7 linked regions of the Cricetulus griseus genome follow. The protein of the gene in region 5 interacts with the protein of the main gene of each other region in a pairwise test. Links are inferred from orthologs where the notes say so. Each region holds a gene or a part of one and is shown on either strand. Other genes may lie near its edges.

Region 1 (4,085 bases), about 57 Mb from region 5:
GTGCACCATTGGAGACCTTGGCAGACCCTCTGAACACCTGATAAGAGAAATACAATTGCTTGCCTTAATGACAGATGTTACTGCCAGAGACTATCACACACACACACACAACACACACACACACACACACACACACACACACACACACACACACACACACACACACACACACACACACACTGCTTGCCACATAGCTGGGTCAGTGTTTATTGAATGAATACATCTGGGAAAGTAGGTCGGACATATCAACTATTCTTCCCTTCCTAACTCACTGCCCATTTTCAACTCTTTCCAATATTTAGTTGTTCAGTATTTTTCAACCACCCACATTAACCTTTTACATTTTCTGCCCGAATAAAGACCCATAAGTGAACTTCAAGGATGTAAACACTATATGGAGAACAGTACTGGACACCCCCAGCTCAGTGATAAACTCTCATTACTCCATTGTCCATTTTGTCCTTAGGAGTCCATCTTTGTGCTGTTTGTATGCCTGGCAGACTCTTGATTATGAAACCAAGTCCAAGGTGACCCATCCATTAAGTCAACTGCTCCTCCCTCCCCTTTTCTCCATCTCCTCTTCTCCACCCCCTCCCTTTCTTGTGGAGGAAGCGGGTAAAGTTTTAATGGAAGAGAACAGATTATCTTTCGTGATGGAGTTGAGACATAGAACTGAATTTTCTTAATTGGAACCCGGAGAATCTGTCAACTTTGTTATAAAGTATGATGGCGAGATTTCTCTCTCTGTGTGTCTCTCTCTCTCCTCTCCTCTCTGTCTCTGTCTCTCTCTCATGCTTGAGACTGTACTTGAGAAGCTAAAAGGACAAGATATTTGACTTTGGAGATTTATGGAAAATCAGGTTTAAATGTGGACAAGAACGCACTGTTCTGTTGGTCTCAAGTTGGGAAAGTCAACCAACTTTTGGTTCGCACTAAATACACTGACAAACATTGAGATCAGATGATTAAGCCGGCAGTTCCAGGCAAGAGAGGTTCTCTCTTCCAGCCAGGGGCTTGGTCCGCAGTCGTTGTTTGGGCTAGAGATGAATTCAGCTTGGCTCTCGGAGTCGAGCCAGGGTCATCGCCCCCGTCCCCACAGACGCCGCCTTCCGGGTCGGTGACCCTGGAGCCTGGGGGCGGGGCCGCGCCGGGTAGAAGCCGAGGAAAAGGCCGGCGTCCCGGGAGCGCGCGAGGCCTGCCGCGTGCGCGCGCCCGCCCCACGCTCGCGCCCGTCAGCGCGCCCACGCCAGCCCGCTCGCCGCCCGCCCGCCCGCTCGCCCGCGCTCCCGGGAAGTCTCGCGATGCGGTAGCCGGCTGCTCCTGCTGCGGGTGGCTCTGGCTGTTGCTGTGGTTGCCGGAGTTGCGGGCGGCGGCGGCTGCGGCGGCGCTGGCGGGGGTGGCGGCCCCGGCGGATGTTGACATTGTGTTGTTGTTCCTGCCCACGGTAATGGCGGCGGCGGCGCCCGGGACCGGGTCTCCTCAGTAGCCAGAGCCGACACTGCCGAGCGCCAGCCCCGCGGCCTCCGCGCCCGCAGCCTCGCCAGCCGTTCTCCGCGGCCGCCCCAGAGCCAGGGCCCCGGGCGCGGGGCTCGCAGGCGCGGGATGGCGGATTTCGATGAGATCTACGAGGAGGAGGAGGACGAGGAGCGGGCCCTGGAGGAGCAGCTGCTGAAGTACTCGCCCGACCCGGTGGTGGTCCGCGGCTCCGGTCACGTCACCGTGTAAGGCCCTGCGAGGGCTAGGAGAGGACGGGAGGCGCGGGCTGGGTGGGCCCCGGTACCCCTCGGAGTCGTCCTTCCTTGAACCCCTGTCTCCGGTGACTGGCGCGGGATGGGGGCCTTGTGGAAACGCCAGCGACCAGGAAGTGAGAACTTGCTCTGTTGCCGTTTGTTTAGGACTCCCAAGTGGGGACAGACACTGTCTTCCCTCCCTCCCAAGCCCTGTAGCAGGCCCCACGGCCCTGGGGATGTGTGGGATCCCAGCAGGAAGGATGGTCTGCTTTATGGGCCATCCCTTCTGCCCAGGGATGGAAGTGCATGTGTATTTTTGGGATCCATCCAGGTAAATTGCCCCTCTCCCCCGTTATTCTTTGGGACTGTGCCTTACGGTCTGTTGACATATGGCTCAGAGGTAAGATCAGGGATGTGAGACCCCACTGGCAATTGATAAATAAGGTTCACCGTCTTGTTTTTGACACATACCCACAGGGCTTCAGAGTTCCCTAAGAGTACATTTCTGCAGAACTAATTAAGTCTCTGCCATTATATATAATAGCAATATATAGGTGGACATAAAAATAGGCAGAAAGATACATGTTTGCAACGAATCACAAGTCCTGAGTGTCCTGTAATCGTTCTGCTTAGGGGCACGGACTCTAGGTTGGCTTCTTGTTTGATAAGGGTTCCTGTAAGGCTTATTGGCACCATCAAAAGTCCAATATTCAAACACTACGGGATGAAAGCACCCTGAAAGGTCATGACTAATAAAGGAATGTGTAGACTTGAAGCAAATAATGAGCTGTCCGGAAGGAGGAAGTTTTATAAGTTTTGCAACATTTCTCTGATAAGTCCGGAGTTGGGGTATCGATACTCCTTCGCAGCTGGTATCTCTGGTTAAAAGTCACAGCTCACACTTCCTGTACTTGCATGTCGAGTTATCACTGATATAAAAAGGGGGCGAGCCTGAAGATGTCTGGAGCACTCTTCATTGTGTTTTGATGTAGGGTGAGTGGGATGTGCTGTGAATAAGTCAGTGAAACAGTGAGACTTCTCATCCGATTGTCAGCAGAGCCCTTGCATTTCTCAGTGTTGTTGAGAGCAGTCATACTGACAAGCCATGTTGTTGTTTGGATATGCTTATGTAATGCTTTGGTTTCTTAGCATCTGTTAAGTGTGTATTTAGGTGACTTAACAGGGTAAAAAGACTGCATAATCATTGTCCCAGGACCTGGGATAAGGAGATGGGACTTGCACCATAATAACAGCTCTGTTTTAACTGTCATCACACGCTTAATTAAGGTATATAGCCAATAGTGAATAATACAACTTAAGTGTATATCTCAGTGTTTTTACTATCATAACCTGATATTTAATTTTTAGTTTGACTCTTAGGACTTTTTTCTTCTTGTTTTAAATGTAAAGAAACAAAAAGCCCACGGACTCAGTGGCACTTGTCTAATACCAACACTCAGGAGGCAGAGGCAGGTGGATCTGTGAGTTATAGGCCAGCCAGGGCTGTATAGAGAGACACTGGCTCAAAGGGATTTCCAAACTTTTTCATGTTATCTGTGATTGTCCTTAAAGTCCTCATGTCTAATCAGAGCTGGCAGAATTTTATTTACAAAGGTTCAGCCAGGGCTGGGGAAGAAACTCAGTGGTATAGAGTGCTTGCCCTGGGTTCAGAACAGCACAACAGAAAGAAAGGTTCAAGTACAGTTGTAATGTCTCTTCAAGAAGAAAAGCCAAACACTTTGTTGGGAAGTAGATAGGCAAAGTGCTCTGATGGTCAGTAAATTTAGGTTGTAGCCAACTATTTGGAGTGGTTAACAGAGTGGAAAACAATTATTAGTGGTTTTTCATCTTATCATCTGTTAGAATCACCTGGCATTGAGCTTAATAAGCATTAGCCTCTTTATTGTTATCAGTATTGTAAATAAGTACTGCCATTTGCAAGTCTAACAGTGATTCATTTAGTCTAGTTTGTCTGCCCATTAAAATCATCTGCGGAGCCCCTGCTTTTGCTCCATCCCTTCTCCAGGCCATCAGTCCACACATGAATGAGACTCTGGTGCATGATGGGGTTAGGGGAGGGTCTTGTAGGTGGTTCTGATTTGTAGCCAGAACTGTGCTCCAGACACTGGTGATGGTGGTGTTTGCACACAGTAGCAGCAAGCCTTCATATGTTTGTGATCTTCCTCAGGCACTTCTGGTAGCCTGGTTATAACCGTCTTCCGCTGCTTATATAAATTACCCATCTGTGTCTCTTCAGTTCACGTGATGCTAGCTAGGTTAAGGATTAAGTGAGATAATGTATGCAAAGAGTGCACCAGTGTGTTGCTGTGCTCAGGGAATACTAGCCTTTATTAA
Region 2 (2,611 bases), on a different chromosome or scaffold from region 5:
TAATTATAGAGTTTTACAAAAAATTAGGTAGGGTGCAACTAAGTTGGTAGTGTGCTTGTGTAGCACGTGTGAGGCCCCGCTTTTGATCCCCAGTATCACATAAACCAGGTGTAATGGCACACACCTGTAATCCCAGCACCCAGGAGGTAAAGACAAGACGATCAGAGATCCAAGGTTATCTCAGCTTCATACCAAGTTTAAGGACAGTCTGGAAACTGTCCAGCAGTCTGTCTCCCCTTCCAGGCTGGTACCCCAGGGCATTCCTGAACTCCTGGGATGTGGGCCCTGCCCACCTCAGTCCCAGTCACCAGCAGCCTCCCTTCACACAGGCCACTCTCCCTCTCAACAGTGCTCAGCTGAGTGCGGGACAGGAATCCAGAGACGCTCTGTGGTCTGCCTTAGGAGTGGGGAGACCCTCCAGGAGGACCAGGAAGCAGGAGCAGGAAGCACTGAGCATGGCTGCCCTCTCAGAAGCCGCCCTCCTGACATGCGCGCCTGCAGCTTAGGGCCCTGTGAGAGGACATGGCGCTGGTACACAGGGCCCTGGAGTGAGGTCAGCTGAGTTGAGGGTTTGGAGATGGGGGACAGGAGGGAAGTCAGTCCCCGTGAGTCCCGCATCGGGACTAAGAGTGGTCTCTCTTCCCTTCCCTTACAGTGTTCCTCAGAGTGTGGGTCTGGCACACAGCACAGAGACATCATCTGTGTGTCCAAACTGGGAGCTGAGTTCAATGTGACGTCTCCCAGCAACTGTTCCCACCTCCCCAGGCCCCCTGCCCTGCAGCCATGTCAGGGGCAGGCCTGTGAGGACCGATGGTTTTCTACTCCCTGGAGTCCGGTGAGTGCCTGGCTCCCTTGTCCTGCTCCACCTGGGCCTCTAACAAGAAGGGCTTTTCTCAGTGCACTGCCCTGGGCACCTCGGCTGAGCTCTCATGCCGTCCCACTTCCTGTTGACTAGGAAGACTGGTGGACCCTTTCTATTTGGGATTTTACAATGTCCCACCACTATCTTTCCGAGAGGGAGGGGAGCAGCCCTGGAAACTTTAGAGATTTGATCTGATGGGTATGGTCTCCCCAGTGTTCTCGCTCCTGCCAGGGAGGCATGCAGACGAGGGACGTCCAGTGCCTGAGTGCCAATCAGACTCTCAGCACCCGATGTCCTCCTCGCCTGCGACCTTCCAGGAAGCGGTCCTGTAACAGCCAACCCTGCAACCAGCGCCCTGGTAAAGAGCTTCCCGGCCCACCCGTAGTGGAGGGGATTTGGCTGGGATGTGGGCAGATGTGAGACGGGCTGGTGGGAATGGGTAACACTTGAGAGGGATGATGTCAGCGCTGCCTTGTGCCATTGACCTGTCTCCAGATGACCAATGCAAGGACAGCTCTCCACACTGCCCCCTGGTGGTACAGGCCCGGCTCTGCGTCTACCCCTACTACACAGCTACCTGCTGCCGCTCATGTGCCCACGTCCTGGACCGGTCCCAGCTGGAGCCTGCCTGAAATGGGTCCAAGAGATCCTTTCTTCATGGGTTTCTTATGCCACCACTGGCCACCCGCTGACTATCCCACTCTGTATCCTCTGGCTTTTCACCTGGTCTGGGTCTCACCAGGGATGTCCTCTAGGGGGAGAGGACAAGGTGACTGTTGACCTGCTGTTGGGTTTGCACTACAATGTGACACCCTGGGATGTGTACCTGGCCTGCCTGGGTGTTTGCCCCTGTGTATGTGTCACTTCCTCAAAAAAGCAAACTGAGGAAGAGGGGGAAGTGCACAACACCTGTTTCCCGGATGCCTTCTTTTTCCACGCTAGTCTGAGCTACATAGCATGTGCCCTGTAAGTTCCAATTTTATGTCCCAATCCTCATTTCCAGGCCAGGCCTCACACCATTAAGCTACCCTGTTGTTCCTACCCCTTCATCCCTCCCTCATTAGCTAGGGGACCCCTGCTACCCTACCTTGCCCAGGAAGGACCACACCTCTCCAGAGCAGGGACCAGTGTGAGGAGGATGAAAAAGAGAGATGTCAGCATTAAGACACCCTAGCCCCGGCCCCCACTTCACACTGGTGACGCCCATCCCAGAACTAATTTATTTTTTATTAAAGTTGATTGTGACAAACATTGCTCTTCATTATCCTCACGAGGACCCTGCCATCTGAGCAGTGCGCTGCCAGAATCTGGTGTGGGGAGGGACGGGAGGAAGGGTCGTCCCCAGGGCTGTGGAGGGTGCGTCAGAGCCGCCTGGCTCAGAGGCTGGGGATCCTGTGCGGCCCCAGAACTGCAGACGGCTCACTGGCCACTAGAGGCCACTACCTCTTCCCGTTTAGGGGTAGTGATGGGTGCGTGCTTGGATCACCGCAGAGTCTGTGGTGGGCTTTCGGGTAGGCTCTTCCGGTGGGTGGTCTGCAGGAACCCAGAAGGACTTTTCAATTCAGAGCCAAGCAGGCTGGCTCAGTGTACGTGTGGGGGTCCTCTCGCCTGGGCCTTGGCTTGTCTTCTTTTACCCACTTCCCTGTTCAATACTTGGCTTATTGCTTCCCATGGGTGCTCGTGGCCGAGACTTGCTCAGCAGAATCCGAGCCCAGCCTGGTTCCCCGGGACTGCAGGAGGAGGGGGGAG
Region 3 (4,220 bases), on a different chromosome or scaffold from region 5:
TCCCTGTATTTGAGAATGAGGGAGACTAGAGAACATCAATTTATTCAATTCCTAAATGTTCTGGGCCTAATGACTTCATTATATTTCATTAAATATTTTCAACATCTCTCCACAAGGGAACTAATCATTACAATGGCTATTTTATAGTCTTACTACTGTGGCTGAGATCTTACATTCCACTGAGGAATTTGGTCTTCAAATTCAGCTATTTCTGACCTTGACATAAAAGTGCTCTGAGAAGTTGAAGAGATTTAATTGCTAGAAAGCAATATTACAAAACAAATTTAGCAAATGGATGACTTTTGGGTGAAAGGTAACTTAAACTTTCTTTGTATTAGTTCTTCATTGTAACATTTTTGTCCTAGATAGTATCTACAGAATTTTTGTGCTCATGTCTTTGTGAAAAAAATGGAATCTGTTCTTTTGTCATTAAGGGATGTTACATAAAGAATTATACTATGGTGGAGGTATAACTAGGAACACAAAAATCATCAAGGTTTTGTTCATATGTTTTTTTGTTGCTTGAGATGGTAACACAGGTATCTTTCAAAATTTTTGTTTATTTTTATGTGTTGGGCGTTTGACCTCCATGTATGTCTATGTATCACATGCATGTCTGGTACCTTGGGAGGCCAGAAGAAGGTATCAGATCCCCGTAGATTAGAAGTACAGATGGTTGTGAGATACCACGTAGTGTTGAGCACAAAACTCATGGCCTCTGGAAAGGCAGCTAGTGCTCCTAACCAGTGCAGAATCTCCCTAGCTCCCAAAGTCATATTTTTGTTTAGGTAAATATAGTAAGTAGAGGGAAAACTAAAGTGCTTTAACGGTAAGCTGACTAAATTTGTAAACCAGACTATATATTCTTTTATATATTAAGTACTGATTGCCAACTTTTATCTGTCAAAAACTGTATCTCCTGTGATCTGGGGCTAGATATTCTTTCTTGAAAAATTTACTCTAATTGTAGGTGCATATTAGAAGGGATTGTCACTGAGTTTGTTCATAATATATTGTTCACAATATTTTGATCATAATATGTTGAATACTATATTTTCACTACCTAAAAATAAAAATAGCTAATGACATAGTGTATGTAATATTTTAAAGACCATATTTTCATTAGTGTGATAGTCTGCTCTTAACTGTTATTTTCTGTTAGAGTAGCTTGACTAAACTCTCTTGCTTTTACTTCTTAATATTTCACAACACAATTTTATAATACATGAAAGAGAAAAGTTCAGAGTAACAGCGACAGTTCCATCAAACAAAGTTGATGTAATCATTGAAGCCTTTTTTTCTTTGCAGCCAAAGAATGTAGTGAAAAAAGTCAGGCCTTCCTTTAGAAACCAGAGTGAGTTTGAACTCACAGCCCAGAATGGACCGAACACACTAAGTCAGCCATACACCAAAAGCCATAATGATGATCAGTTCAAATCTTTCTACAACATGCTGACTTCTGGCACCATTTTACTTTGTAGGGAGAGAAGTTAGCTCAGGTCTAAAAACTGAACATTCATTTTTCAAAAATTAACAAGCACACTTATGACTAGCTATGACTTCTTTTACCTATAACGCTATAAAGACCATGTCACAGAATGTTGATAAAATTAGAACATTTAATATTAAGCTTTCAGCAAGAAAAGACAGTCCAGCACACAAACCATCATGACAACTAACTAGGATACTCTTGATTCAAACCCCCAGAATTCATGTGTGGCTTGTAGGACATTCTAATTAGCATTAGCGACCAGAGAAAAGAGAACTCAAGAAGAAATAAAAATAAACTTCATGTTATTTGTTATGTAAAGTGAGACACAAAGGTGAAAGGAAAATGAATATGTCATTGAGAAGTTAACTTCTCTTTTTGAAGGCCATGATAAGAAAAAAATAAATCAGTTCTCTAGGAAGTCTTGTAAGAAAAACATCTCATGGACAGAGAGCTGAGCCCGAGCCCTGCTCTATAACAAGTAGACCCAATGAAGTTTCTTAAAATAGAGATCACAGCTCTGAGTGCTTTTCTATAGCATGTACAGTTCAACACTGCAAACAAATATGTCAAGGCCATCAGAAAATGGCTCCAAATACAGACCAATAAGCCAGAAAACTCACAGAATATAAAAAAATTAATTTAACAGGTATATCCTCCAAACAATCTCCCTCCAAAAACACATTGTATAAAAACACAGAAGGAACATTTTTAAGGGTTAAAAATGAAAAGATATTAAACATGAGCTGAAGACGATCTGAATAATGTGATTACTATGAGATACTGAGCGATGAACTAACTGGTCTTCTGCCAACCATGGTGCTACTCATGCTGCCTGGAGTTATATTTTGGTATGTGTTCTAGCTTCAATTTTAATGCAGTAAATATTAGAATTCAATAAATATGGAGGGTAAGTCGTACCTTAAATTCCTCCAAGATTTTGTAATTTTTTCCATGATATTCACAAAAGTTTTTCACTTCTTTACATTCTGGACAGCATCCATTGTGTTCCACTTTTGTACATTTCGGATGAATTTTAGGGCATTCTGGCTGGTCACAAACAGGTCCATCTAGAGCACAGACACATGGACAGTTGGAATGCCCCGGGAAAAACCGTTCTCCCAACTTGTATACAAAGCCGCTGTCATCCACACACCCTTTCCCTCGATAGTCATCAAAGATCAGATTGTCATTACTGGAAGCCTGGTCACCTTCATCAGCAGGATAGTCTTCGTGACTGATGGCAGCAGAGGTGACCAATCCAGGGATGACCAATAGAAGTATGCAAGCTTCATGAATATGAAGAGCCATCCCCCTCCTCACAGGCTTCTGGATGTTCTCCTAATATTAAATACACTCAGCTCCTTCCATGGGAATGCAAGAGGGATGGGCTGAAAATAAATATTTAAAAGGTAATTTGACATATAGAAAGAGTAAAGATGCACTTAGCCCATGCTCTTAAATTGTTTGTAAAGGTTCAATTTTGGAAGACCCTGAGACTTCAAATAAACAATGTTCATCCAACTGTCTCTACTATAAAGTTTGAATAGCGGATTTTGATAATGTACATTGTAATAAAGGTAATTTATGGAGTTATTTTACTTAGGCACCTCTAGCTTGTAATTTGCCTGTGAATTCCAGTGGTCTGGCTCTTTGCACATTGTAGGAAGCAATTTTGTTGAAGCTTAAAAAGTGATTTTAAGTACATAGTTCAAGGATATTTTGAACCACATCCATGTTTTTCTTTAAATTGGATGAGTCAGTAATAGAATGTAGATGTTACACTATTCTGGATAAAAACAAGAGGTTAAGGTGAAGCATTAAAAAACCAAGGGAACTAAAAAAATAAAACAGTTGGATGCAGGTTTAAATGAGATGGATAAAGTATAAAGGCTTTCTTTCTCATGCCCATAATCTGGATTTTGGAACACATGGAATATGATAAATAGCATAACAAATCATAGTGAATAAGAGAATATATTTATAAATTAAGTGTTACAAAAATTTAATTTATTGAAATGGACTTGTTAAAAACAAAGTCATGTATACTATTTGTTCACATCTTTAGTTTTATGCTGGAGATAAGCTCCTAGTGGGCAGGAAAGATATAGCTATAAATTTTTATAGCAGCCAAGATCATGTGATGTTGTTTGAAGTTGATTACTTCCATATTATATTAATATCATTCACATTTTATTGAAAATATCACTCATTGGAAATGACCAAGATATTTGCATTTAGGTAATTTCTGCAAAGATGCCAGAAAAAATTCTTTGGAAGTTTCTTAAAATAATAATGAAGCACTGATATTCACAGACTGTATACCTTATTGCCTGGATAGCACAATAACTGTTATACACCCCCAGGGTGTTAGTATTTGGTATTGGTAGTGAGATATCCTTTGGCTAGTTAGAGTAGATAACTTATAATTTCTGTGAATCATGGATGAGGAAAATTATTTTAAAATATTTCATTTATCTATTTAAATGCTGTTGGCTTCATGCCAATATTACTAAGATTGTCTGTAGGACATTTTAAGATATCTAAGTTTCATTCATTGTTTTATCTCTAAACTATATTAAAAACAGTAATAAACTACTTATTTTCAGGCCAGCATATAATTATGATAATTTTAAATATGATGAAGATGATGCTAGGAAACTTTGTAAACTCTTAGAATATTTTTGCATTTTAAGTTAGATATGCAAATTCGAGTAATAGTAAAATGGAA
Region 4 (4,135 bases), on a different chromosome or scaffold from region 5:
CCGGCCCAGCCGACGGCGCACTGCGCAGGGGAGTCACTGTCACCGTCCACGCGCGCCCGGGCTCCTCGGGGACCCCTTCGCCACCTCCCGGGCGCCGGCACTCACCACGCACGACCGCGAGCCGTCGCGCTCCACGATGCAGTCCGCTTTCTCATGGCACGGGCTGGGTGAGCCGTCGGGGCAGAAACGCTGCCCGCGCCGCCGGCAGCCTGACGTCTGGTCACCCACGAAGCCCGGCCGGCAGGGGCCGCACTGGAAGGAGCCCTGTGCGCAGGCGCGGTCCGACCGTCAATCGGGCACCCACGCGCGCCTCGCCAGCGCCATTCTCACCATCCCTGCCTTCCTTACCCGGGTGTTGACGCACACGGAGTCTGGGACGCAACTATGCTGCCCGGTCTCACACTCGTTAATATCCATGCAAATCTGGGGGACGGAGATCACGGGCAGACAACACACGTCCCACCCGGGCCACGCCTCTTTGCAACCTGTCTCTCCACCCAGACTTCAGATCTTCCTCACTGGAACAAGGGTGTGGATCGAGCTTTCCGTTCCCCTTACCTGTTTGTTGGCCTTAGCGAAGGCTAGCCCCACGCCCTCGTGGGTGGGGCCGCTGTACCCAGGTGGACAGGCTTCGCAGCGAAAGCCGGGGCTGGTGTTGACACACCGCACGCGCGGGAAACAGGGGTGAGCATTGCACTGTGAAAAAGGAGCACATAAGATTTTGGGCCCCCAGCTGGATCGCAAGAGCCGCACCTTGAAGCTTCTCGGATTTGGACATGGGTTTGTTTGTTTTTGTTGTTTGATTGGAGACACAGTCTCACTGAATAACCCTGGCCGCCCTGGAACACACCATGTAGACCAGGCTGGCCTCGAACTCAAAGAGATCCGCCTGCCTCTGCCTCTCGGGAGCTGGGGTTAAAGGCGAGCGCCGCCAGACCCAAATGGTTCGCAGCCACGGCCATCAACCAGCTCTTGGAGACCCCAAGGGTCACAGACGGCTTTGCCTTGATGGACATGAGGCTGTGACCCCTTAGGAGTGAGGAAATGAACTTGGGGAACGGGCATCCCCAGCCGAAGGAGGAAGTGGCCGACGGCACGTGCAGGCACGGCGGCGATCGCCAGGTGCTCCAGGAGGGCGACTCTCCAAAGTAGACGAGTGGTCGGGGCTAGCGAGCCCCAGTGGTGAGGAGGATGGTTGGGGAGAGCCACACCCAGCGCCAAAGAGGTCGTCGGGGTGGGCGTCAGTGGGAGCAGAAGGCGTGGTCAGGGCGTGCGTCGGGGGCAGTGATGGAGTTGGCCCGAGTGGGCTTCCCCAGTAGAAGGGAGGTCTTCTGGATTTGCGCCCGGGGCTAGGGGCAGGAGGGCACCCTCGGTGGATAAGGGGGTCGTCGGGAAGGAGGGAATTTGTGGTGGAGTCGGTCCGGGTAGCGTCAGGATGGCGGGGGTGTGGGAAGCCCGCGCACCTCATTAACGTCGGTGCAATGCGAGCCGTTGCCGGTGTAGCCGGGAGGGCAGGGGCCGCAGCGCGCGCCGTTCGCCGTCTCCGTGCAGACCACGCCGGGGAAGCAGGAGCCGGGTGCGCAGAGCGGTACTGGCCGCACGCTCAGGCCGGGAGTGCGCGCCGGTTGCATCCCTTTGGGGGCGGAATAATTAGGCCAAGCTCGCAGGAAGGAGCCTCTCCGAACCACACCCAGGGGAGGAGCCTTACGGCCGCGCCCACAAGGAGACTAGCTTGCCCCGCCCAGGGTGGAGCCGTTCGTGACCACGCCCCGGGAGAAGGCTCTTTTTAGCCCGCTTGGAAGCGGCACTCTCGCGCGTGCGCTCTGCCGCGGCGCGGTCCTCTGGTTCTTCGCTGTCCAGCGTCCAGTCCGCTCCATCCCCGTTCACTCCTGGCCCCGCCAGCCTCCTTCCCCAGCCCTTTTTCCTCCTTTACGCTCTGCTTCCCTGCCCTCCTCCGACCCTCGGGTCCCCGCTGTGCTCACCGCAGGCGTCACACTCCATCACTGTATTCTTCAGGAACGTGATCTCCTTGACCTGTCCGGCAGGAGGTCAGCTTCCCTGTGGTTCTTCTTCCTCCTCCTCCCCCACCTCCTCCTCTTCCTCCTCCTCCTCCGACCCTCCTCCTCCTCCTCCTCTCCCCCCTCCCTAGGAAGCCCGGGGCGCATAGCCACCGCCTTTCTATCTCCTTCTGCCGGATCCGCTGTCTCCCCGGCTGTGGCCCGGTCCGTGTGTCCGGTCCCGCGCTCTGTCCCGCGCCCTGAGGTGTCCACTCCGTCCCACACTCTTGTCCGCGCCATCTCTCGGTCCCCGCGCTGCCGCCCTCTCTGTTCTTTTCTGTCACCTGTCTGTCCACCTCTCATCACTGCGCTGTGTCCCCCTGGCTCTGTTGTGTCCCCACACTGGCTCCCTCTGTTCCCTTACCTGCTGTCGCAACAGCTCCCTCACGTCCTGCAGCGCCGCGTTGGTCTCCTGAAGTTCCCTAAGCATCTGCGGGGCCAGGTCTCCACCTGTGTCCGCAGGGGCCACTGATGGGCGACTCAACCACCCCATCACCCCTCGGGGCCCTCCAGATCCACCCGCTGCTCCAGCTCCACCCGCCGCCTAATCTCTCGGCCCGGTAGGTCTCTGCAGAGCAGACCCCCAACTCCGAGGAGCCAGAATCTCGAGCCTGGAGGAAACCGAGGGGCCTCCTCTCCAGCCATGTCCCCCACTAAGCGGCTTTACCCAGCGGAATCTGGCCCTGTCCCGTCGCGCGCATGGCAGCCAGAGCGAGCACTAGAACACAGGCGGTGGGACCCATGGCGGTGGAGCTGCGGCTGCTGTCTGCGCCCTCGAGCTCGAGCCCTATTTATTCCCGCGCCCGGCCCGGGACAGCCCCCGCGGCCCTGCCCAGAGCCCGCCACAAGGTAAACAGGCCGGGCTCTGCATCAGGGCCGCGCCCCAAGGCGCGGGACGACCTTCGGCTGATCAGACCATGGTGGGGTCTGAGGAGAGAGAGGGGTGAGCCTCGGGGAATCAAGTGGGGCTCCCCGCTCGAACTCCAGTTCACGGCTGAATGCGTGCTGTATGCAAGACATCTTTCTGCCCCTCGCGGGTAACATTTGGTGAAATCACAAGTGCTCAAAAGGTCTGAGCCCACCCACTCTGTCTCCTACACTCCCTCCTTATATCAGAGCCCTGCAAAGGGGGCTGTGGGCATGGCTCAGCCCGGGTCTGCAGGGGGCTGTGGGGACTATGAAGGTATAAAGTACTGGACTCCAGCACCTCCAAACAGAATCCCCAGTCTTGCCTCAGTTTCCCCTTTTGCACAGTGGGGGTGCTGGGCACGGGGTAGGGTAGGAGACCTCCGCTTCCCTGGGGTTCTGTTCTCAGTGGGCGGCACCCAGCTTTGCTGCCCCCCCACCCCCGGCGCTAGGGAGACAGCCCGTTATAAAACTGAAAACCGCTGGGAACTGAAAAATCTCCTTCTCTGAGCTGTGAACTACCTCAGCATCCAGGAACTTTAACCCTCTCTAAGCAGCCTCCCAGGTCTCGCAGTTCAGTCTGTTACAGAGAAGCTGGGGTCCAAGAATGGGATCTGACCCTCCTGGGGCCACTGCAGACACCCAGGAAAATCTTGTTCCAAGAAGTTAAGTCATGGAGGGCTGCCTGGAGGAGGAGGCACAGGGGACAAAGAGAATAAAAAGGGCCTTAGATCAGTGGGCAGGAGCATTGAGGTGGCTCTAGAGAGGGAGACACTGGAAGATGTGTGTCTAGATTTCTGAGTACATTCATGTGTTACATAAATGTGCCTGTCCTGGGTCAAATTCTCTGCTAGGTCACTGTTGGGGACACAGGAAGACAACAGTCCCCAGCCTGTCAGAGCCTAGGCTACACCGTCACTCAGAGGTGTGGAAGCTGCAATGGGAGCTGCTTAGCAATAGTCCTCAGCAGGAATGAGTGTGAGCTGCTGGATAGATGGCCCCCAGGGTGTCAGATCAGGGGTGAGGCTAGCAAAGGGCAGTGCCAATGACTTGAGGCCCAAGTTGTCTTTGGAACGCAATAGGGATGCTTATAGGGTGAGGGAGGGAGAACAGCCCTGCAGAGGGAGTCTGGAGGTGACCATGTTCAGAGAGGCCAAATCCCCCAGGCACAC
Region 5 (4,255 bases):
AGTTAGATCTAAGTATTCGAAAACTCACGCAGCACCTTCGCAGAACCGCGGCGGCTGGTGGCCTGTGGTTCTCCGGCCCAAGTGCGCTGTTTCCCTTGTGGTTCCGTCCGCCTTCCGCGCCTGCTGGTCTCCCTTAGTCCAGGCCGCGGGACCCCAAGGACCGAAGCAGGGGTTGGAGTTGGGATGGGAAAGCTACTTAAGTCCTGCCTCCTTTTTCCCTGAGTTCCCACCCTGGGCTCCCTGTAAAGCCGGGTGTAGCTAGAAGCCCCCCTCTCGGGTCCCAGCCCTACCCCCCCAGAACCCCTTCTTCCGCTGGAGAAGAGCGCCAGGGGCTCGCAGTGTCTTCGGCCGAGCCTAGCGCTCCCAGCTTGGGTGTGCGGGAGCTTTCCGACTTGAGGCCTAGTTCTCTGCTCTCCACCGAGTTCAGGAGAGGACGGCGAGGAGCCCACGCGATCCAGGGTGCTCTGGCTTCTGAACTCCCCAGCATGCTTTGAGCCGCTGGGCTGGTCATCCTTTATCAGACCCTGGTGGGACTCGGTGTGCTCTCTCGGACTTGGTAGAAAGAAGGTCGGGCCTGCGTGGGCTTAGGAGGACGGGTGACCGTCTTTGAGGCACCCCTGACCTTGGGCGGCTTCTTGAAACTGCCACTTCTACTGTGGCGCCTTTGGCATCTTCTCGCCGCCTCACCCGGGCCTGGGCCACATCTACCCTAGAAGTGCGTTGAAATTCCGGTTCACCCATCTCCTAGCGTCAGGGGCCCAGAGAGGTCAGATAGAATGGTGATTGGGACTCTGGGGGAGGGGGCTGCTCTGGAGATCTCTGAAGGAATGATGTGACCAAAATGGGCAGTTGCCTGGGCGATCCAAGGGGTACTAACCTTGGACCTCTGTAGTGCCAGCGGTTTTGTCCCTCTTTCAAAAACATTTGAAACTTAAACAAAATAACCCGGTACGTACGCTCTGTACGGCCTGCCATCCCGGCGCCAAGTGAACATTTGCTTGAGCAAATTGCTTCCGCAGCACTAAAAAAAAAAGACTACACTTGGGATTTTGCACCCTCCCCGGTCCCGGCTCTCACCTCCTCGGCCTGATCGCGCTTTTAAGTTTTCTTTCCTGTTGACACTCAAGGAGTGTCTTTGGCCCTTGTCAAGCCCTAAAAGAGGAAGGAACGATGTGGGGAAAGTTTACTTTTCTAAGAAGCCGGCTTGCTGAGCTTGGAGGAGAAATTTCTTGGGTTGCCTGCCCTGTTAAGTTCCTAGCCTGCCCCCCTCCCCATTCTAGGATTATAGGAACTGAAAGCCAAAGTGACTGCGGGTGACGGTTTCCATGTGTCTCCTGTCTCCTTAGGCCAGGCCCCCAGAAGCAACAGCTTGAAGGACTTCGAAGTGGGAGCCCTGAACTGCTCCTGGCCCCAGGCCCCCTGGATCCGTCGGGGCGCCTCCACCCGGCAGTTAGCATGATGTCTTACCTCAAACAACCCCCATACGGCATGAACGGGCTGGGCCTAGCTGGCCCTGCCATGGACCTCCTACACCCCTCTGTGGGCTATCCTGGTGAGCGGTGGCCCTATGTCCCTACCCCCAAGCCTGTGCAAATATTGGGGGATTCCAGCTTTTAACGTTTGAGCCCACACAGTCCCCAAACAGGCCCAGGGATATGATTATCTCTGTGTCTGTTGCCCAGATCTGCTACAGGCTCTCCGGTTTGAGTTTAGAAACTGTGACCTACAACTTTTGAGCTTGTGGTGCCTGCTCCTGTTGTGGTCTCACATGCTAGAGAAAGCATGTTTGTCCACCGACGTATTTCCCACCGGTTGCTTTTTTAAAAAAATAAAATCTTGCCCGCCCAAACATTTCACGAGGAATCTGGACTCGATAGGCCCTAATGTAAACAGCCAAACTTCCCTTATGTCTAGCTGCCTTGAGAAGCAGAGCTCTTTCTCCCTAGTCAGAGTGCCCTAGAGACCAGGGACCTGACCCAGCTCTTCCGTGGTGGCAGACGACTCCAACTGAACCCCGAATTTATTTTCTGGATCCTACTTCTTTGCTTGAATTTATTCACTTGGAAAGCTTTCCCAGGTCCTGTTTCTACCTACCTCTGTTCTACTTCCTACCTTTCAGCCAGAAGTGGGCTTAGGGAGATGAGGAGGGGATGGCTTTGTTTTTTATCTGAGAGACAAGGAGGGCTGAGGCCCTGATGTTTCTTTCAGACAGGAGCCTCTAGCCCAATTTATACACTTTGCCCCACCTGTGGGCAGGGAAGTTTGCTTTTGCGCGGAGGTCGGCCTTTCCTTTCCATGGCAGGGTTCTGGACCTACCAGAAGACCTGCGTGTGGCCTCTAGCTCCAGTCCTCGAGGTCCACTGCTGACTCCAGGTGCCCTTGTATGTCCCCACAGCCACCCCGCGGAAGCAGCGACGGGAACGCACCACCTTCACGCGTTCACAGCTGGACGTGTTGGAGGCCCTTTTCGCAAAGACTCGCTACCCGGACATCTTCATGCGAGAGGAGGTGGCGCTCAAGATCAACCTGCCAGAGTCCAGAGTCCAGGTGCGTGGTCTTTGGGACTCTAGGATTAGGGTAGGGGCGCTAGGAGCGGTCGGGGAAGATCCGACCTGGGCCATCTGGTGTTGGGGCCCATTCACTGACTGGACAGCCCCTCTCTAACTCCCCCTAGTGCTGGGCTTCAGTCAGCTAAAGGGGGGTAACATTTTAAAAAGTAATGGCTTAGAGCCCAACATCTCTCTAGCCCTTGTCCCCAGGGCGCTTTCATTGTTGAAAGTCGGTTTTTGGATTTTGGAAAGGCCAGCCGTGTCCCCCGGGTGTAACTTTCCCAGAAGGTTAGATAATGGCCCCTGCTTCCTGGCTACAACAGAATTTGGCGTTTTCCTACTGAGCCTTAGCTCTCCTTCCGCTCTTGTCTTTCTTACCCTTCCCTTGAGTCCTGGGGATTCTAAAAGTGCAAGATGGAACTTGGTCACAGCCTAGCGCAATCTGCCTTGGAGTGTGCTCTGAGGGTGGAGTCGGTATGGTTTGGAGTTTTCTCCAGCCGAGTGGAGGCCGAGTGCAAAATCCAGATGCTGGGTTTACTGTTTCTAAAATGAAACAGTTCAGAAAATAGGAGTTCTGAGTTAGTCTAAAACTCTTCCTCGAGAGTCTTTTGTCTCAACTTCTTTCCCTGAAGGCTCGAGAAGGGACTGGGAATGCAATGCCCCGTGTCCGGGCCCCTCCAAAAGGAGTGCGAATTTATGACTTATCGTTCCATTTGGTACCCCACCTGGAGCCAAAAGGCCCAAGGAAACCTCACCCAGGCTTCCTTCACGAGAATCCCAGTACTGGAGTACTGCTTCCGTTCAGTTCAGCCTCCAGCCTTGCTTCTGTTCCCACCCAAATATTTGCCCTGCCCAACTCCAGTCTCCAGGAGCCGACTCGGTGAAACCCCTCGGGCCCCAGACTTGGTGACTGCCCTACTCTCCGATGTTCTGTACTCTCCGCTGTTTCCTGAGCTCTGTTCTTGGAAAACAGGGCCTCCAAACTAAAACGGGGCTGCGGGGAAGCAGCCAACTGCAACAGCTTAGAGATGGCTGAACTTCTGGCTGGACAGACGCAAACGTTCCGCCCTTGGGCAGAGTTGCGCTGGGCTTGGGGAGGTGCGCATCCCTCCTGCGGTGGAGGCTGACTGGGGGCTTTGCGCAGAAGGATGGGGGAGGGAGCCAGAGCTGGGGACCTAGCACGTGCGGGGGAGGGGACAGGGTCTGGCAGGGCCAGAGACTGGGAGGGGTAGAGGCTGGGATTGAGAGGTCCCTGAGATCCTGGGCGGGGTGTGAGTCCGAGGGGCGGAGGAGCTGTGAGCTCCACTAGCCAGCCCCCTGATCCCTTCTCCTTCACCCTGCTCACTGCAGGTTTGGTTCAAGAACCGCCGTGCCAAGTGCCGCCAGCAGCAGCAGAGCGGGAACGGAACGAAAAGCCGGCCGGTCAAGAAGAAGTCGTCTCCAGTGCGCGAGAGCTCGGGCTCGGAGAGTAGCGGCCAGTTCACGCCGCCTGCCGTGTCTAGCTCGGCCTCTTCGTCTAGCTCAGCGTCCAGTGCCTCCGCCAATCCCGCGGCTGCTGCGGCCGCGGGCCTGGGTGGGAACCCGGTGGCAGCCGCGTCCTCTCTGAGTACGCCTACTGCTTCGTCCATCTGGAGCCCGGCCTCCATCTCGCCAGGCTCAGCACCGCCATCCGTGTCCGTGCCAGAGCCACTGGGCGCACCGAGCAA
Region 6 (4,245 bases), on a different chromosome or scaffold from region 5:
TAGGAATTTTTTTTAGCACATCTCTGGCTGAAATACTCTGAAGTGTATTTTAGTAAGAATCTTTGAAATTGTATTTTATTAGTGTCGAGTAATTAAAGCTGTTCATTGCTCCCTGTCCTCGTTTTATCACTGACCTCCCTGCTAAATTTATGCAGACAACTGAGAAGTGCCAAAAAAGATACTCTGGTATGATACTGCATTAGCGATTGGACCCTTCCAATCCAGTCCTAAGAAACAGATCCACAGCTGTCAGGCCTTATTACATTGCTACCTCTGTGGGAAAATAGACAAGATACAAAAGCCCCACCAGCTTTACATTTGAAACTATGACTTTAACACATTTCCTAGCATGAAGGTGAACAGACAGCTAGCTTCCTGGCTTCTAGAATGTTCTATTATCCTCTAGTGGCCTTTCTTATGGAGGATGTTCTTTGCAGGAGTGTCCTGGATGTCTCCCATGCAATTCCACACACAACTGTGAGTTCTAAAAGCATTTAGATACTTGAAAATGAAGTATGCAAAAACCAACATCAACAAAAAGCTTTTAAAAAAAAAACCTGCTGTTATTGTTAACACTTTAAAAAACTACTTTGAGCCCAAAACATCCAAACTCACATTGATGGATGATTTAGACCCTGGAGATCTGTTGTTTATCAAAACTATTCCTGATACAGTTCCCTGGGAAAATATTTCCTATTAACAATTTTTGGGGTCTTAGGTTATTTTAAAAACCCTCTATGGAATTTTTAGTTCCACATATAGTTCTTTTCACTTTGTCCTGAGCTACATCATCCCAATAATAAATGTCCAAAATCCCAGAGTTTGTAAGGAAACAAAAAGCATTCCCCACTTACTAGAGTCCCCCTACCCTGTGACAGACATGTAACTAAAACTAAAGCTTCTTCATGAGTTATTCTTATTTTACTTGCTTTTTGTTGATTAAAAAAAAGTTTGTGTTTTTTTGACAAAATTATACAAACATTACAAAATAGCAAGGACTTACTTGGGTTTGTTTTTTTTTTTTTTTTCCGAGTAATTTTTGGGATCATACCATAAACCGAAACGGAACAATCACTAAAATCCCACAGCAGGAGGGATTTCCTGCTGTGGATCATTATATTACATTTGCAAAAGTGACTGTCCTTTCGGGAACTTTCATACTGTATCAGCACACATTTTCCCTGGGGCACGGTGGAGAGGTGTACAAGTGTTTTTGTTGTTGTTGTTGTTTTGTTTTTGCCTACTGTTCTTCACAACTCTTTTCTAACTCATAAGGGTGAACGCATCGGTTTCCTTAAATCGGAGGCTGACAGCTCACTGACTATCAGGGGCCCTGGAACATGTGTTGCTGCCCAGTTGAGCTCAGAGGCAGTTTTTTCGGAGCGTCCTCGAGTCCACATCCACGATCGCTAAAATCCTGCTCCGGGTTTTGGCTCAGCCCGCGTGATTGACACATGATATCACCGGGGGCGGGTCCCAGCGTGGAGGTGGAGGTGGCGGCGACGCTGAAATGCTGCGGAGCCCGCGCGCGAGTGCTCAGCACGCAGGAGTTTGCGGCGGCCCCGCAGCCAGAGCTCTGCGGGCTAAGAAGCAGCTGCGCGCGACGTGCATGTGCCGGGAAGGCCGGCCCCGGGCTCTGCACTAGGCAAGAGCCTTGCCCTCCCGCCCAGGACCTGGCGAGATCAGGTGAGAATGGTGCTTTTTTTTTTTTTTTTTTTTTTTTCAAGGACCGGACGTTTTCGGATCTGGCTCTAGCTTGGTGCCCCGCGCTGGGCGCCCGGCCCTGCAGCTGGAGAGCTGGCTCCTTTCGCTTTCCCGTAGCCGGGCAGCGAGTTCCGCGTGTGCGGACGCGGGCTGGCATCGCCGCGCACCCGCGTGTCTGTGCGCATTGTTGGCGACCGAGCCGCCGGGCGCTCGTGCCAGACCTGACTTTGCAGTCCCCGAGTGCGGGCTTGCCGCGAGCAGACGCGCCGTTCGGACGCGCTTTTCACTGCAGGGCATTCCGTGGGGGCAAAACGTGCACGGCCGCGTGTGTCCCGGGCTCGTGGCTGCCCATCACCGCGAGGAGGACAGCGTCCCGGGCTGGCGAGGGACTCACGTGTTTCTGTCTCTGCTCGTCTGCAGCCGGCGTGGCGACTGCGGGGACGCGGACCTGCGGGGACCCGAGCGCCCGGGACGACGCCGGGCCGCGCGCCTGACGACCGGGACGGGACGGTGCTGTGGAGCGGGCGCCGCGCGCACCCGGCGGATGTCCCGGAGCCGCCCTCGGCCGCCGCCAACCGCGGAGAAGCGCCCCTGCCCCGGGGCCGCCGAGGCCGCAGCGCGGGCTATGAGCGCCCGGCCGCCCCGCCGCGCTTGATGCGGCGCGCATCCCGCCCGTTCGGCGCCCCGGGCCGGCGCCGCGGAGGCCGAGGTGAGTGCGGGCGGCAGGTGCGGGCCGGGGCGGGCCGGGCGATCCTGGCGGTCGTCGCGCAGCCCGTGCCAAGCGCGCGGCACCCGATGGCGCTGGGGAGCCAGCGGCCGCCTATGCTCGGAGCGCAGTGCCTCGCGACGCGGGGAGAGGGCGCTGCCTCCTCCCGCCCGCGAGCTGTTTTCATTCATAACTTTCCCCAGCCCGAGCCGCTGCGGCTCGGTGTCCCTGAGGCCTATGTGCGGGCTCACAGAATTGTCCGCGCGCACCCGGCTGCTCTCCGGGCGGGTGCGGGCGCCGAGGTGCTCCGCCAGAGCGAACTTGCTTGGGAATGCCCTGTAAAATGCGAATTAAAGCTATGCCTGGGGGTTTCATTACTCAAGCCATTCCCACGTCTTCCTTTCTTGTGGATGAAACTTGGCACATTTAAAGTCTTCGTTTTGGAGTTTTAAGTTTTTTAAAATAGATAGGGCACGGGAGTAACGACTGGCTGTTTCCCATTGTCATTTAGGGGTTCGGTACTAAGACGTGCTGTTACAGATGTGTTTCTCGTGTTTGGGGAAGGTAGAATAAACTAGAGGGGCCCCCAAGAAGCTAAACATGTAGTCTAGGAGCATCCGTAGCAAACTGCTTTTCCTTGAGACGTTTTGTTTTCTTTTGGCACCTAATTCAAGTGCCGTCTTGAATTAGGGTGCATCTGTGGGTTTGGAGAGCATTTGTGTGAAAAATATCCTAGATACCTACTGCCCGGAAACGGGAAAGTCAACTTTTGCTCTGTTTTAGGACGAATGCATTATAAATTGTAAATTATTTCTTGACGTGAAAACGTGTTTGTTGTGACGAGATATTAGTGTGTTTACCTTATTACAAAAAGCAGCTCGATTCAGGGCTTGTTGAAAATCAAGGTCTGTGGTGTAGATGAATGAAAGGAAATAAAGATAATGCAGAGACTAGGGCTCCTCTCCCTGCTCTGTAGGTTTGACACTTGTGCATAGAAGTTATTCATGTTGGTGAGTGAGCCTTGTTTAACCTTTAAAGAACCTTCTATCCAGAGTTTGTGTGCATGCTCTAGCGCCAGCAAGACAGCTAGAGCCGCTGCCTTCTCCATTCCTTGTAGATTCTTTTTCTCATCTCACAGATGAGCTTTAGATCCGGACTTGTGCCCAAAACGGCCTATTGAGATTCACGTGAGCTTGGAATATCCAGTGTTTTGGAAATTGCCTTGATTAATTTTCTCATTAATCTAAAGCTCTTAACAGCGAACAAATGGCCAAGAGGCCACAGCACTAAAGCCATTCTTAATCTTTAAAAAGTAGCTGACATTTTCCTTACGTGAACTGCCAGTGAACTGATAGTGAACTCTCTGAGAACAGTTCCAGGGCGCGCACTGAATGCTCCCTTCGAAGGCATATTTCATTTTAATTATTTGTTAGGTTTGCAAACAGGAAGACATGACTTCCTCTGCTTTTTAGAAGCTGGAGAGCAACTTCTAATTTTTGTGGCATGAGGTCTTGCTTGCTTTCTTCCTGTGATGTGGCCCTCCACAATCCTTGTTTTTGGAGTTGGACTCCTGCCAGGATTCTGCATCATTGAAATCAGCCGATGGAGGCGATCATTGCCAGGTGGTTTGGGCAATTTGTTACTTACAGGCGCCCCCCTCCCCAAAATGCTTTCTCATTTATTTTCTCTCTCACTCTTCTTTAGGATTTCCGATGCATGCCAGGTTTCTGCTGACTGCCGGAACCGGAGATCACTCCACATGGATCCCCCAAGTCAGCATGGCAGCCACACTTCCCTAGTGGTGATTCAGCCACCGCCTCTGGAAGGCCGTCAGA
Region 7 (4,183 bases), about 170 Mb from region 5:
AACAAGAGGAACTTCTGTGAGAATGTTCTGGGTGACAAACAGTGGGACTTGAAAGATGACTCTCCTTTTATTTACGGTTTCGCGAAGGAGGGATTCAATTTGCAGGGGAACAGCGTGCGCCCCCCCCCCCATTTCGGAAGTCCATGATGTCGCCCTGAGTAATCGCGTGGGTATTACTGAATTAATTTAAAAAGCTTCTGAGTCGAGCAAAAACAATGCCCAAAAAAGTCTTCAAAAGGCCTCCATCTATAGATAATCCCTCTTAAAAATGAAATTCTAACAAACTACACGTCCACACAATCAAAAGCCAATCCCAGCCAGAGCAGAAGGGACTTGAAACCCGAATCTGCATTCCGTTCCTGCCGTACAAGGCTCGGAGGTGGGGGAGGCGGTTTGTGCTGGTGCCCGGTGTATAATCGGGTTAATCCAGTAGACAAAGAATAAACCAATAGCCCTCCCACCTCACTTCCCGCTCCCCTTTCCCTCCCTCTCCCGCTCCCCCCACCCTCTTCGCCCCCCTGGGCATTGGAGGGGGTGGGGCGGGCGAAGGAGGCGAAGAGGTAGATCCGAAATGGATTCCCGAATCGAATCTTTTAAAAAGCCGCAAGTGGCTTTTCACGCTCGCACCGTGCGGCCGGGTTAGTTTTTGCAACGTCCCCTCTGGTCTCCGGGCGGCGAGGGAGAAAGTTCCCTAAGTGAGCCTGGCCTCCGGCTGGTGCTCGTGGCCTCCGGGGGTGGGCGAGCGAGCGAGCGGGCGGGGCGGGGGGGGGGGGAGCCTTAAGGTCAGTGTTTCCTTGAAACTAGATAAACTGACCTCGCGGTGGCCGCAGCGGCCCCGCGTGACGGCGCCCGGGCTGCAGGAGCGACTGGGGACGCGCGGGGCGGCGCGGTTGCCCTTTTGAATGCCTCCTGCGGCTCGGAGCGCTGGCGGGCGCTGGAGTGTGAGTGAATGTAGCCCCGCCGAGCCAATGAGCTGGGACCGGATGCGATATATCCTCTGGGACAACAACTGCTCTGTTCCGCCTCGGATCCACATGACGCCATTTACTGCTGCCGCGGCCGCTGCAGAGCTCCCTGCCTCCTCCGGAAAGGCGAGGGCGCAGGCCAGCGGCTCGCCCCCCCAGGCCCCAGCCCCAGCCCCAGCCCGGCCCGGCCCCGGCCCCGGCCCGGCCGGGCCCAGACCCTCCTCCCCCACCATCTCCTCCCCTGCGCACCCCGCCCCCGCCTCGGCCTCGCCGCCGCGCCTCCGCAACGCCCAGTCTGCACGAGCCAGAGCTGCGCGCCGCAGTGCGAGCGGAGGGGGCCGGCGGAGCGCGCAGCGCCCAGGCCCCGCGCGCGCCCGCCCGGCCCGGCCCGCGGCCCCGCGCCAGCCTCCGCTCCGAAGCAGCCCCGGGCCCCCAGGACTGGGCGAGCTGGCCTTAGGTTCTTTGTAAGGCCGTGTTCGCCTCTCTTTCTCTCATCGGCCAGGAAAAAAGAGACTTCGCCAACCACGGCGCTTCGGCTTCTTGTTCATTGAGAAAAAAAAAAAAAAGAAAGAAAAAAAAGAGGAAATACTCCGTGCGCTTCTGGAAGGGAGGTCATCTCTCTCTCTCTCTCTAGCCCGGAATCCGAGAGGGTTCCAACGGTGGAGGATTGGGTTCCAAATTTTCCCCTGGTTGTTTTTCTCCTGCCACCGATTACTTGGAAGTTGGACTGAAGCAGAGTTCGGAAAGAAGGAAAAAGTTTGCATCGGGACTGGATTTACTTTGCACATCGCAGAAAGAAGAGAGTCCAAGGGAGAGGGGTTGGTGCAAAGCCGCGATCACGGTGAGGAGCGTTTGGCTTTTTCCCTGCTGGAACCACAGTCCGCCGCGAGTGGGGTACGGGTTCCTCTTTCCCCTAAACCCGTAGGCTTCCAGGGAGGATCGGGAGCTGCCCCGCGGATCTGCTTCGCCTAGGACAGGGGTTCAGTCACCGCCGGGCTGCAGGGTGCGCCGGTGCAGTGTCCCCACTCCGCGACACCGCGCTCCCTAAGGGCTTTGGGGAGGAGGACCGCTCCACTGCGTTCTGCTCCTACCCTGCTTTGGAGGCGGTTTAGTCGCCGAGATCCCTGCTTTTCCTGATCGCTGTTGCAGGCTCGTTTACGCTGCTAACCTGTTCCTCCTTTCGGTGGAAGGCCAAGTTCTGGGGAAGCCGATCCTGCGGCGGGGGGCGCCTGTGGGGCTGGGGTACTGGGCTTCTCATCTCACCACCGCACCGGAGCAGAAGACTCGGCGGACAAGCCGAGGGTAGGCTGCCAGGCGGAGGGAGTCCCCGCCTCTGCCCGGTGTGGACAGTCTAGCCCGGTGCGGGTGGGAGCGTCGCCCAGCCTGGCGCCGCGTCTCTGCGGTTCGGAAGTGCGGCTTTCTCTTTTTTCCGTTCTTCGTGGTCGGCCTGGGTCATGCTTTTTTTTTCTTTTTTCTTTTTCTTTTTTTGATGCTTGGGCTGACCTAGCACAGGAAGAGAGTTATTAAGTGGTCGCGATCGTTTTCCATTACCTGAAAGTAGGTGGCAAAAAAAACTAGTTTCCCCCCTCCCTCTTTTGTGTTACTGTTTTTGAGATTTGGAGTCTTAACGCCTTTTTTACAAAGGGGTTTCTGTGTCGGTTTGCCCCACCCTAGTGCTGAAGTCCTTTCCCCCTAATCCTTAGTCTGATCACACACTGTTCTTAATGGGGGTTTCAAAGCACTCAGAGGGGGAGGGAGAGGAACTGCGAGAGCGCAGGGGGTGGAGGCGGCCCGCGAAGGAGGCCGCCAGGGATCGGCAGAAATCACTTTTTTTTTTTTTCTTCCAAAAGATGCTACTTTTCACGGGCAGTCTTCACGGGAAGTTCCCGATCTCAGGGGTCGGAGGCCTGCACGCCTGGCGTGTCCAGTGGGGCTCTAGATAAAGCTTTTTCTTTTTTTTTTTTTTCGTTTTAAGAAATAAATCTTTTTTCTTGGTCTAAAAGGAGGTAGGCGTGTGCAGATTGCAGGCGGTGCTCTCTTCGGTCATTGCACGCTGGCTGGAGTCTCTCTGGGAGCGTGGGTACATAGACTTCTGTGCAAGCTGTGCGTCCCGACCCGGCTCTCTTCCTCGGGGCGTCGGATTTGGGAACTTGTGGGGACAAGCGTTTTGAGGGCCTTCGCAGAAACACCTTGTGGTGACCTTGCTGCGGGGGTGGGCGTGTTGGAGTGGCACCCCCTCTTGGGGCTGGGTGGCAGTTCTCTTGGGTTGGGGGAAATTTTAGCTGAGGGGGTGCGGAGGAGGGGGAAGTGTGCTCGTGCATTTCACGACACGTCCCCTTCGGAGGCGCCCGCGCCCCCTGCCTGCCTGAGCTTCAGGGGATTGCTCGCAGGAGGGGCCGGGCTGGCCCTAGACAGCGTCAGTCCGCCTGGAGGAGAAAAGTCCCCGGGGTTCTGGCTGAGTCCCACCTGCTGCGGACTGTGTGGGGGCGCAGATAGAGCCGATAAACCCAGTGAAAGCAAAGAACAGCCTTGTGTACCTTGCTGTTGGAGGTGAGCAGATCCGGTTTCCAGCTCTGTCTAGTTCTGAATTAGGAGGCGTTTGTCACCTGCCTTGTTCGCTGCCCTTTTCCAAAAAGCCAAGGTTGGATTAAAAGTCCGCTTTTGCTTATTTTCTTTGGTATTTTTATGAGGGCCTGGGAGAGGGGTGGTACTTTTTAAACCGAAGAATGACTGTAATTTAAGCGATCCCTTGACGAAATGATAGGTTTCAACCGTGACACTTAGGATTTTTAAAACCTTTCCTATTGCTGTTACTTGCTTTTGTGTTTCTGGGTATTTTTCAAAACGAGAAGATAACATCATTTTTGCATGCTTTATTAAACAGGGAGAATGACTTGGGATTGAGGATATAAGGCTAGACTCATAGGTCTGTGGAATATTTAATTCTCGAGTAGTGGAAAATACGTTTTGGTCTTACGAGTTTGTTTTCACGTGATAGCTGATGGGAATCGAAATGACTTCAATTCTGTAACTTTGTACCACTGTACTTACTTAAAAATGCAGCCTTAATTGTTCTCAGAATGTACTTTTATATCATATGGGACTGGCAAAAGATACTGATTACACAACTCTCGGTGCTGACTTAAACCGAAGCTGTTGTAGGCATTTGTTGGTGTTTAGTGTAAAAAGGATCCTGACAAATTTAAACCTGTTACAAA

Evidence for each region.
Region 1: the proteins of Otx1 (region 5) and cysteine-rich hydrophobic domain-containing protein 2 interact in binary tests that used the Homo sapiens proteins (3 or more experiments, as listed by UniProt). The two-hybrid records come from large-scale screens. The link is inferred for Cricetulus griseus from reciprocal best matches to the Homo sapiens genes OTX1 and CHIC2.
Region 2: the proteins of Otx1 (region 5) and Adamtsl4 interact in binary tests that used the Homo sapiens proteins (3 or more experiments, as listed by UniProt). The two-hybrid records come from large-scale screens. The link is inferred for Cricetulus griseus from reciprocal best matches to the Homo sapiens genes OTX1 and ADAMTSL4.
Region 3: the proteins of Otx1 (region 5) and Vwc2l interact in binary tests that used the Homo sapiens proteins (3 or more experiments, as listed by UniProt). The two-hybrid records come from large-scale screens. The link is inferred for Cricetulus griseus from reciprocal best matches to the Homo sapiens genes OTX1 and VWC2L.
Region 4: the proteins of Otx1 (region 5) and Comp interact in binary tests that used the Homo sapiens proteins (3 or more experiments, as listed by UniProt). The two-hybrid records come from large-scale screens. The link is inferred for Cricetulus griseus from reciprocal best matches to the Homo sapiens genes OTX1 and COMP.
Region 6: the proteins of Otx1 (region 5) and Spry1 interact in binary tests that used the Homo sapiens proteins (3 or more experiments, as listed by UniProt). The two-hybrid records come from large-scale screens. The link is inferred for Cricetulus griseus from reciprocal best matches to the Homo sapiens genes OTX1 and SPRY1.
Region 7: the proteins of Otx1 (region 5) and Spry2 interact in binary tests that used the Homo sapiens proteins (3 or more experiments, as listed by UniProt). The two-hybrid records come from large-scale screens. The link is inferred for Cricetulus griseus from reciprocal best matches to the Homo sapiens genes OTX1 and SPRY2.

Annotation. Positions count from the first base shown.
Region 1 is NW_023276807.1:141,545,311-141,549,395, reverse strand, and holds the start of cysteine-rich hydrophobic domain-containing protein 2, read left to right. Parts: upstream 1-1,285; 5' UTR 1,286-1,602; coding exon 1,603-1,721; intron 1,722-4,085.
Region 2 is NW_023276806.1:60,828,259-60,830,869, forward strand, and holds the end of Adamtsl4 (ADAMTS-like protein 4), read left to right. Parts: intron 1-329; coding exon of another isoform or gene 330-349; coding exon 350-553; intron 554-655; coding exon 656-835; intron 836-1,075; coding exon 1,076-1,220; intron 1,221-1,357; coding exon 1,358-1,494; 3' UTR 1,495-2,111; downstream 2,112-2,611. UniProt on the Homo sapiens protein: Positive regulation of apoptosis. May facilitate FBN1 microfibril biogenesis.
Region 3 is NC_048595.1:424,192,699-424,196,918, reverse strand, and holds the start of Vwc2l (von Willebrand factor C domain-containing protein 2-like), read right to left. Parts: upstream 2,801-4,220; coding exon 2,411-2,800; intron 1-2,410.
Region 4 is NW_023276806.1:248,600,942-248,605,076, forward strand, and holds the start of Comp (cartilage oligomeric matrix protein), read right to left. Parts: upstream 2,801-4,135; coding exon 2,725-2,800; intron 2,508-2,724; coding exon 2,422-2,507; intron 2,035-2,421; coding exon 1,983-2,034; intron 1,634-1,982; coding exon 1,464-1,633; intron 697-1,463; coding exon 559-696; intron 424-558; coding exon 349-423; intron 265-348; coding exon 106-264; intron 21-105; coding exon 1-20. UniProt on the Homo sapiens protein: Plays a role in the structural integrity of cartilage via its interaction with other extracellular matrix proteins such as the collagens and fibronectin.
Region 5 is NW_023276807.1:84,695,141-84,699,395, forward strand, and holds the start of Otx1 (homeobox protein OTX1), read left to right. Parts: upstream 1-1,455; coding exon 1,456-1,552; intron 1,553-2,395; coding exon 2,396-2,547; intron 2,548-3,899; coding exon 3,900-4,255. UniProt on the Homo sapiens protein: Probably plays a role in the development of the brain and the sense organs. Can bind to the BCD target sequence (BTS): 5'-TCTAATCCC-3'.
Region 6 is NW_023276806.1:112,081,566-112,085,810, reverse strand, and holds the start of Spry1 (protein sprouty homolog 1), read left to right. Parts: upstream 1-1,445; 5' UTR 1,446-1,686; intron 1,687-2,303; exon of another isoform or gene 2,304-2,413; intron 2,414-4,114; 5' UTR 4,115-4,169; coding exon 4,170-4,245. UniProt on the Homo sapiens protein: Inhibits fibroblast growth factor (FGF)-induced retinal lens fiber differentiation, probably by inhibiting FGF-mediated phosphorylation of ERK1/2. Inhibits TGFB-induced epithelial-to-mesenchymal transition in lens epithelial cells.
Region 7 is NW_023276807.1:257,384,644-257,388,826, reverse strand, and holds the start of Spry2 (protein sprouty homolog 2), read left to right. Parts: upstream 1-1,383; 5' UTR 1,384-1,806; intron 1,807-4,183.